Arabidopsis thaliana: one gene and its partner. The protein of the gene in region 2 interacts with the protein of the main gene of each other region in a pairwise test. Each region holds a gene or a part of one and is shown on either strand. Other genes may lie near its edges. The genes, in order: AT5G05800 and SAC52.

Evidence for each region.
Region 1: the proteins of SAC52 (region 2) and AT5G05800 interact in binary tests that used the Arabidopsis thaliana proteins (3 or more experiments, as listed by UniProt).

Annotation. Positions count from the first base shown.
Region 1 is NC_003076.8:1,742,201-1,747,136, reverse strand, and holds AT5G05800 (Myb/SANT-like DNA-binding domain protein), read left to right. Parts: upstream 1-1,891; 5' UTR 1,892-2,000; exon of another isoform or gene 2,001-2,355; 5' UTR 2,356-2,385; coding exon 2,386-2,691; intron 2,692-2,771; coding exon 2,772-3,260; intron 3,261-3,348; coding exon 3,349-3,903; 3' UTR 3,904-4,143; downstream 4,144-4,936. Other genes in the region: ATL43 (RING/U-box superfamily protein), read right to left, coding at 1-361. UniProt on the Arabidopsis thaliana protein: Transcriptional repressor that associates with ribosomal protein promoters.
Region 2 is NC_003070.9:4,886,403-4,890,478, reverse strand, and holds SAC52 (Ribosomal protein L16p/L10e family protein), read right to left. Parts: upstream 2,366-4,076; 5' UTR 2,210-2,365; coding exon 2,200-2,209; exon of another isoform or gene 2,050-2,199; intron 1,931-2,049; coding exon 1,429-1,930; intron 1,334-1,428; coding exon 1,252-1,333; intron 1,140-1,251; coding exon 1,071-1,139; 3' UTR 775-1,070; downstream 1-774. Other genes in the region: AT1G14330 (Galactose oxidase/kelch repeat superfamily protein), read left to right, coding at 1-104; AT1G14315 (F-box and associated interaction domains-containing protein), read left to right, coding at 2,546-2,940, 3,102-3,618; AT1G14310 (Haloacid dehalogenase-like hydrolase (HAD) superfamily protein), read right to left, coding at 3,807-3,873, 3,978-4,071.

The DNA of each region.
Region 1 (4,936 bases), on a different chromosome or scaffold from region 2:
TACCGGAGTTTTTCCTTCCTCCTACTACTCCTCCACCGTTGTAATATCCTCCTCCGTATCTAGTGATTGCGAAACGCTGCGGGTGGTTTACGTAAACGCTGCCGTTTCGTCGTTTACAGTGTTTGACGTAGAGGAGAAGTAAGAAAGTGAGAGAGAAAAACGCAGTGAGGACGGCGATAACGACTGCGATTCCGGGCATGAGAGAGGAAGTGAAGTTATGCCGTGGCGGTGGAGAAGGCGGAGGAAGTGGCGGTGGAGTATCTGAGGTTGTTATAACAACCGCCGTGTGATTGTCTGCGAGTGAGACATTGAGAAAGAGAGAGAGAGTAGAGAAGAGAAGTATCAAGGAAGAAGAAGACATGGCTTAAAGGCTTCTAGTTGAAAGAGAAGGTCTTTAGACTTAAGAAATGGTTATTTTATTTTCGTATATTTATTTTGAAGTGCCTGAAAATAAGGGAGACACTTTTGTGAGTGTGTGAGATAGGGAGAGAGGTTTTTATAAAAGGGAAAGAAAACAAAGTGAATGAGGACAAAGAGGATGCATTAAAAACATGACTCCCTTCTTTCATCTTTCATGCCTTACAAATTTGATTTTAGGAACTACTATAGTAACCAACATTTTTTATTTCATTTTAAATTGAATTCATTAATGGAAATTAATATATAGGGACACATATCAATGATGATATCTATAGAAATTGTTTTTGGAATTTTCGTACTGATCATAAATTCTGACTCTAAACAAATATAATGGCTAGCACAGAGTCGATAACAGCATAAACTAGAATCAAATCATCAATGCATGTCTCTTAGCCCTTTTCTCTATCAAAACTAAAGACTACATGCCAAACCACCGAAATCATAACCAAACTCTACTTTGGATTGAGGTTTTTTCTCCCATGCTAAAGAGTAAAGACTACATGCATTTTAAGATAATAAATGTTAACATCATAGTCATGTGTCTGCTGCTTTCTCACGATGTCACACTAACGGTTTAGAGAGTGCAATCACATTTTAACCGTTGAGACAAAATGTTTGTTAGAATCTCAACTTTTCAGTCACATTTTCAAGCCATATATATGTCTTCCTAATATATTTTTTTGGTAAAAATCATGTGTTATGCCTCGTTATCTTTCTCTCTCGAAGATTTTCTGTATAACACAAAAAGTAAAGTATACAAGATTTATAACGTGTTAACGCTAATCAGTCCACAAGAAAACCACGAATAGAAAACAAGAAAATACAAAGTCCATAACAGAATAAGCAAAAGAAATCATAAAAAAAAACGAGTAGAAAGCAGTTTGTTCCCTAGTGACGATTTGGGGGAGCTGGAGCTAGCTAGCTATTTCTGTACCATTATTTCTTAAATTTTGGACTAATTTCCATTATTTTTGTATCTGGATTTATACGTTACGGCCCATTTAAAGCAAATGTTATTTATTATTTGGTCGGCACCATTTAAAGCAAATCTTATTGCTGGAGTCCCCTATTAATTTTGGTAATCGTGGTCACCCTCCCCCACAAACTATATCTATACTTATCAATGATGCCGATAGTCACCTAAATATATTTGATTGGAACAATAATCACCTTTTCGATAAACCCATATTCAATTCTCCTAACTCCTTCACATAATCAGCTATAAAAATGTTTCGATAAGAAAGCAAAAAAAACATCTAAGTCGAGCAGAAATTTGAACAAAATCAAGACCGGACCCAACGCAAACCAGTCTCACAGTCTGTGTCCTCTTAACCAATCAGAGTATCTCTTCAAACGGAAACAAATAGTCAGGCAAGAACCGGTGTAATTTATTGGGCTATGACCCATGACCAAAGAACTCGGCCCAGCCCATAACTCTTAGAAAAGCCTTGGAAAATCCGTACAGCGCGGCGCAAACGCAAAAAGCAGAGAAAGAGAGGAAAAATCGCGATCGGCTTCTTCCAGCCACACCCGTCACAGAGTGGCCACTCAATCGCTGTCGCGTTTCCATCAGATTCCCGGTAACGTTTTCCCTTCTTCAGCTTCCCAATTCCCGCCGGCGAAATCCTAACCACTATCGTAGTTTTTCAGTCTCCCGATTAATCGAGTTAGGGTTTCGTGCAATTTTCCCCATTTTCGTGTTCGGTTACTACTGGGATTTTGAAGTAGGCGAAGTCTCAGGTCGCAAAATCATATTTTTCCCTGAAACACGTTTCAAGTAATTGCGTCTGCGTTCTCTGGTTCAATGCCTTGTTTATATGATTTGTGTTCAATATCTAGAATTGTTGGGTTAATGTTTATGCAAATGTCTCTGTCTCTCTGTGCTTTTGTTAAAAACGAGTTCACAATGATAAAGGTATCGTTTTTAATTGTTAGGAGTTTTGGAGAACAGAAGTTAAAAAAGAAATGAGGCCAAAAGCAGTGTGGGAGCCTGAGTATCACAGAGTGTTTGTTGATTTATGTGTGGAGCAAACGATGCTAGGGAATAAACCAGGGACACATTTTTCGAAAGAAGGTTGGAGGAACATATTGATATCGTTTCAGGAGCAAACAGGCGCCATGTACGATAGAATGCAGCTTAAGAACCATTGGGATACAATGAGCAGACAGTGGAAAATATGGCGTAGACTCGTTGAAACTAGTTTTATGAATTGGAACCCTGAGAGCAACAGGTTTCGTGCAACTGATGATGACTGGGCTAACTATTTACAGGTTTACAAATCAAAACCACTTGTTACATTCATTTTTGTTGATTTTATAAAATGCTAAAATGTGATTGCTTTGTGCCGTAGGAGAATCCTGATGCTGGGCAGTATCGGTTGAGTGTTCCGCATGATCTCAAGAAGCTAGAGATTCTCTTTGCGGGTTGTAATGTAGAGGTGAAAAATGATGAAGTCTCGGGTGTAAGGAAGAGGCGAAGAAGTTGTTACGAGGAAGAAGATGAAGATAACCAAAGCATGTGTAGTTCATCTAACCCTCAAACAAAAGGGTATTGGTCTCCGTCTACACATAAGCTGTTTCTTGATCTGTTGGTTCAAGAGACTTTAAAGGGAAATAGACCCGACACTCATTTTAACAAGGAAGGGTGGAAGACGATTCTGGGGACTATTAATGAAAATACCGGCCTTGGTTATACGAGACCGCAGCTGAAAAACCACTGGGATTGCACTAGGAAAGCTTGGAAGATCTGGTGTCAACTCGTTGGAGCAAGTAGCATGAAATGGGATCCTGAATCTCGTAGCTTTGGTGCAACAGAAGAGGAATGGCGAATCTATATTCGGGTATGATAATGTTAGTTGTCTTAACTATTATCCTTCTCCCATTGGACTACATTTTGAACAGATAGTGTTTGTCTTTGGTTTATTACAGGAAAACCCAAGAGCAGGACAATTCCGCCACAAGGAAGTTCCTCATGCTGATCAACTTGCAATCATTTTCAACGGAGTGATAGAACCTGGAGAGACATACACTCCTCCTTCGCGTTCGCGCAAGAAGCTCCTCCACAATCGTTCTGAATCACCACAATGGCGTGACACAACTCCATTATCAAAGATGCACGTAGATGAAGCAGAAACCTCCAGGCAAAATGGTTGTTATGCAGAGTCTCAAGAAGATCGGATAGACAGTGAAAACGCTCAACCATTGGATGATATGAAGTTAATGAATGACGTTATGTTGCAGGAAAGTCCGGTATTCGTTGAGATTGAATCGGCAAAGCCGATGTACAGCATTGGAGAATGCATTAAAAGCCTCAACGCAATTGAAGAGGTCGAACAAGGTAGTGAGCTCTACATGTTTGCGTTGGACCTGTTTCTGAAGAGAGAGTATAGAGAGATCTTCTTAGAGCTGAAGAAGCCCAGTTTGAGAATCGCATGGTTGCAGAGACTTCAATCTACTTCATTTCCTATTCCTACTACAACATAGGTTCAAGTGTATTTTACAAGCCATCCTTTTTGTACTCTGACCTCTGTCTCTGTCTGATGTTATACCCAAAAGAATCGTTCTTTGTTAGTTCTATGAATATGGATTATATAAAAACAGACAGGTAGAGAATCATGTTGATGAACCTTTGAATTGCCTAATTCTTAAGTGGTTTGTGTTAGAATTGTTCTCACTTTCATTCATTAGGAGAAGATATTTAGCATTTAGTTCTATGCATATTACGAGAGAGCAGAACAAGGTTTGGGACACCGACAACAATGGAGTGTGTGAAAGGGGCTTTTGAGTGAGAGTTGATGATTAGAATCTTTTTTGAATTAAAAAGTAGATAAAGCGAGTGACGACAAAAAACAGTACCCAAAGTGGGCAAAAAAAGGTTTAGTCGCATCCCAATAATTAATTACCCCTTTAAGGTTAAGGAGTAATTTTCTAAAAAGTAAGAAACTAAAATTAACGCGCCAGGTAGGGGTCGAACCTACGACCTTCTGCTTAGGAAACAGACGCTCTATCCACTGAGCTACAGGCGCTTCTGCATTTATTATATTTATTCTTTCTTTTTCAATCTTGTTTTTGTGGCGGCTTATGAAATTTCGTAGAAGTATCATTTTCAAGTGGTACGAAATACAAAAAAAGACATAAAGAATAAAGTGTCGTTAAGTTTAAGCTTACGTGTTATCTCGAATAACATTAATTAAGTTACATCTATAAACAATTTGTAGCAATCGCATTGTTTTTGTTAAGTAAAGCAATCGCATTGTTTTTGGTTTTTTTTAGTAAATTTGAAGTTTTTCTCCTTATTTTATGTGTGTTTTATGATTAGTTAAGCCTTAGACATAGCCGACGTATAACACGTAAACTATCATTAAGTATGAACAACTTTATGTGTTGTCGCTTTTATTTTGAATAATATTAGAGAAAAACTACCTAACAAAAAAAAACGGTGTATACTAGTGGTTATTAAAATTTTGGAAAGATATGAAATGTTGGCCTAGCTAGTAGCTAGTTAGAATTTTATAAT
Region 2 (4,076 bases):
ATTCATGGATACCATCTAGTGATCGAAGTCCGCCTCTATGGACATTGCTCGGTAGGAAACATTCATCGAATTTTGTTTACAATTGCGCGGTGATGGGTTGCTGATAAAAGGGTTTCAACAATAACTTTCAGATGATTTTTATGATTCTCCTGCCGTTGGAGATGTCGAAAGTTGCAGTCTTTTTTTTCTTATTAATTTTGGTTATAAAAGAAATTTATTTGAATTCAATTGGATACAATCATCTTGGTGGTATTGTTAGTTTCTTGGAAAGAACAGAAACAGGTCTTGTAATAAGTTTGGTGGAGAAAGTTCAGAATCTAGAGTTTTTCAGTTCTGCTATACTATTTGTTAAAATTTTTGTTTATATTCGTTTCATTCATTTTTTCGCAAAGAGACTATATTATGTGTTTTGTGTGTTCTTCTTTCAATTCTCTGATAAGAGAAGAAAAAGAGCTTTTAATCTTATAGTTGTTGTTTGCAAGATAACTTGATCTTTTGCTTGCAAGTAATACCATAAACTTTTCAATTTTTCTCCTTTCTCTTGGTTCTCTGTTTTGGGATTTTTGCTTCCTTCTTCAGAAATTATGGCAATTAATTCTTTGAAAAGTAAAAAAAACAAAGATAGACTTAATCAGGAAAATGGCAGTTTGCATCTGATTTTGACGTGTAGGTAGGTCTCTGTCATTTTCTCTTTGAACTCTCAGCCTTGCATGACAATACCTAAGATGGGCTTGCTATGCTAATTTCAAATCTTTTATGCATACTAAATGATCCAACAAGGCAATCACCCATCTCTATCTAAAACTTCAACGATTTTCAAGCAAATCTTCAATTAAAATATTTAAAGCTAAAGCCATGATAAAACTTGCAAATGAAAGATATATGGCCAAGAACGAAGGAACAAAATCATTTCAGAGCTTAAACAAAAGAGTCACAAAAAGATTCAGAATACTGATTGTGTCCAACTAAAAACTTAAAACAACACCAGAGATAACGATAAGTAAAAAGATTCAGGCTGATTATAATTCTTCTTCACCGGAATGAGAAGGATACTTCAGTTCTGATACTCTTCAGTAGTGGGCTGGCAAAAAGGCACTTCCCGGCTGACGGTTAGCCAAAGGTCCATGGCATGAGAGGAACTGAAAAAAAAACGAAAACATTGTTCAATTCAACAACAAATGATATTTCCAATGATAACTATCACTGCTATAGGATCAAAGAGTGACAATTCTGATGTAAAGCCAATAATACCTTAGCGTTGACACCATCAGGGACAACACGCTTCTCTTGCCTCAACTTGGTGAAGTCAGCTCTGTTAAACTTCGTGAAGCCCCTGAAAAAAAAGTCAAAGACTTGATGAGTTAGCTTACTTGTATCCATAAAACAATCAAACAACAAAATGATTCAAGGATCAATCTTTGAACATACCATTTCCTGCTGACAATAATCTTTTGACGACCAGGGAACTTGAACTTAGCACGACGAAGAGCCTCTTGAGCATGGTGACCATGGGCATCCTTGCAACGAACAGACAAAAGAACCTGTCCAATAGCAACACGAGCACAAGTACCCAAAGCTTTACCAAAAGCACCTCTCATACCAGTCTGAAGCCTATCAGCTCCAGCACACGAAAGCATCTTGTTAATCCTGAGAACATGGAAAGGATGAACCCTAATCCTCAAATGAAAAGCATCTTTTCCAGCAGACTTCACCATGTACTTGTTGCAAGCAATACGGGCAGCTTCAAGTGCTTCACTTGACACATTCTCCTTCTCCCATGACACCAAATGGACACAGAATGGAAACTCATCAACACCCTTCCTCTTCATACCAACATCGTAGATCCTGATTTTTGGATCTGGCACACCACGACAGTAGCGAGACTTTGGGTATGGCTTACCCTTGATCTGACGGTAACACCTCGCAGGTCCTAAATCAATATTCAGATTATTCAGATTTCAGCTCAGACCAAACTCATATAGCTCAAAATCATCACAGTATATAAAAACCTAATCAATCAATTGGTATCTAAAGAGAAACTATATAAACCTAATCATTTATCCGATGAATAGAAAAACTGAATCGCAGAATCTCAAAATCGCAACAAAGAGAGAACATTTGGTTAATTAAATCCATGGAGGAATCGGAAGAACACAGAAATCCTGACAGAGAAGTCACAAGAGATCGAGAGAAACTTACTTCTTCCCATGGCGTCTCTCTTTATCCTTCCTCGGCCAAAAAGCGCGGCTGCTCGACGAAAAAACTAATGACCTAGAAAATGGCTTCAATTTATAGATCCGAAATTTGCTAGGTCAACAATATAGCTCTGGGTTTTTAACTAATGGGCTTTAACTATTAAAGCGCATTACATATTAAAGAGATTTGTTAGGGATAGGGTTAGGGCCCATCGATTGTATATACGTTTTTTTTTTTTTATCTTCCTCCTCAAGGAAAAAATCAACATTGGATTGAATTGATACAAATAAGCATATCTTTCATGTTATCCATCACTCAGAACAAAATCCTCTCAATAGACAGAGAAATAATGCAATTGCTTCCCCACGACACCGTTGAGGATATTCTTGAGAGAGTTCCGGTGAAATCTCTGCTCAGATTCAAGTCTGCTTGCAAACAATGGAAGTTGACAATCGAATCTCAATATTTCCAGGCGAAACAGTTGATCTGCTCAGCTGGCGGGAAAGATCTAAATCTTGTATTGGTGTCTGAAGTACCCAGTACGTTGGTGTTGCCCCATCATGTTACTGCTGATTCTCCTCCACTTAAAACTAACGTGTTGTTGATATCATCAGAACGATATCATATTTACCAACTTTTCCACAATAGTTGTGACGGTCTTGTTTGCCTCTTTGATTACCAAACCTTAAACAACATTGTTTATAATCCCGCCACTCGATGGCATCGACGTTTCCCTGTTTCCAGGTTGCAACAAATCTGTCTTGAGCAGCCAAGTTATTTTAGTCACGTTAAATTTGGATTTGGCAAAGACAAAATCAGTGGCATATACAAACCGGTTTGGTTATGTATAACTCTTCCGAACTTGGCCTAGAAAACGCTACTACATGTGAAGTTTTTGATTTTAGCACCAACACTTGGAGGTATATCAATCCTTCTTCTCCTTATCGGATTAATACTTCCTCGTCTCGGGGGCATGCTCTGTATGTAGATGGATCGCTTTATTGGTTAACCGGGAAGAAAGAAATTAAAGTTTTAGCGTTAGATCTCCACACCGAAACTTTTCAAGTTATCTCTAAAGCTCCTTTTGCGGAAGCAGATCATAGAAACATTATCACACGCAGCCTGAATAACCGTTTGTGCTTATCGGTTAGTAAACCTCTCCAACAAATGATAATATGGTCGTTCAATTCAGAGAACAAGACCTGGGAACAAATATATTCGATAGTGAATCGTAGTGTTACGCAATCATTACCAGTAGCCATTTTGGAGAAGAATAAGCTTTTGTGTTGTCCTAGATCAAATAGTAGACAGCTGATGATATATGATATCAAAACCAAATCTGTTGATTCAGTTTCCATAGGCACCTATCGTTGCGGAGATAGTGTTTTTTGTTATTTCGAGAGTTTAATCTCTATATTGTAACTTTCACCATTTTCTTCTTTTTGTTTGCTTCTCGTGGATCCATCTATTTGATTTAAATTTTAGATTCTTGTTGTCCAAGTTTGCAGCTTTTTCATTATTAATTAAATTTTTAAAGAGACAGATTACAGTGTTGATTGAGTAAGTGTGTACAGGGTCTGAAAAATATTGCAGAACAAAATCTTTGAAGCTTAGAGTTCTGAAACCAAGATCCGCTTTTGTATGTCCGAAAATGTCTGCACATCTTCTCCCCACAACCTAAATTTTCAAAGAAAACAGATAAACAAAAAGCACTATGTGTTATGATGGATGAGAATTTAAAAACCTCGGAAAAAACAAGATGAAAAGTATATTTGGCGCACCAACAAGCAATACCGATGGCGTTTGCTCCGCCTTTATCAGCTCCTTCATCATCTCCGACATGCACTGCTCTGTTTACATCTACGCTGATTTGTTCTGCG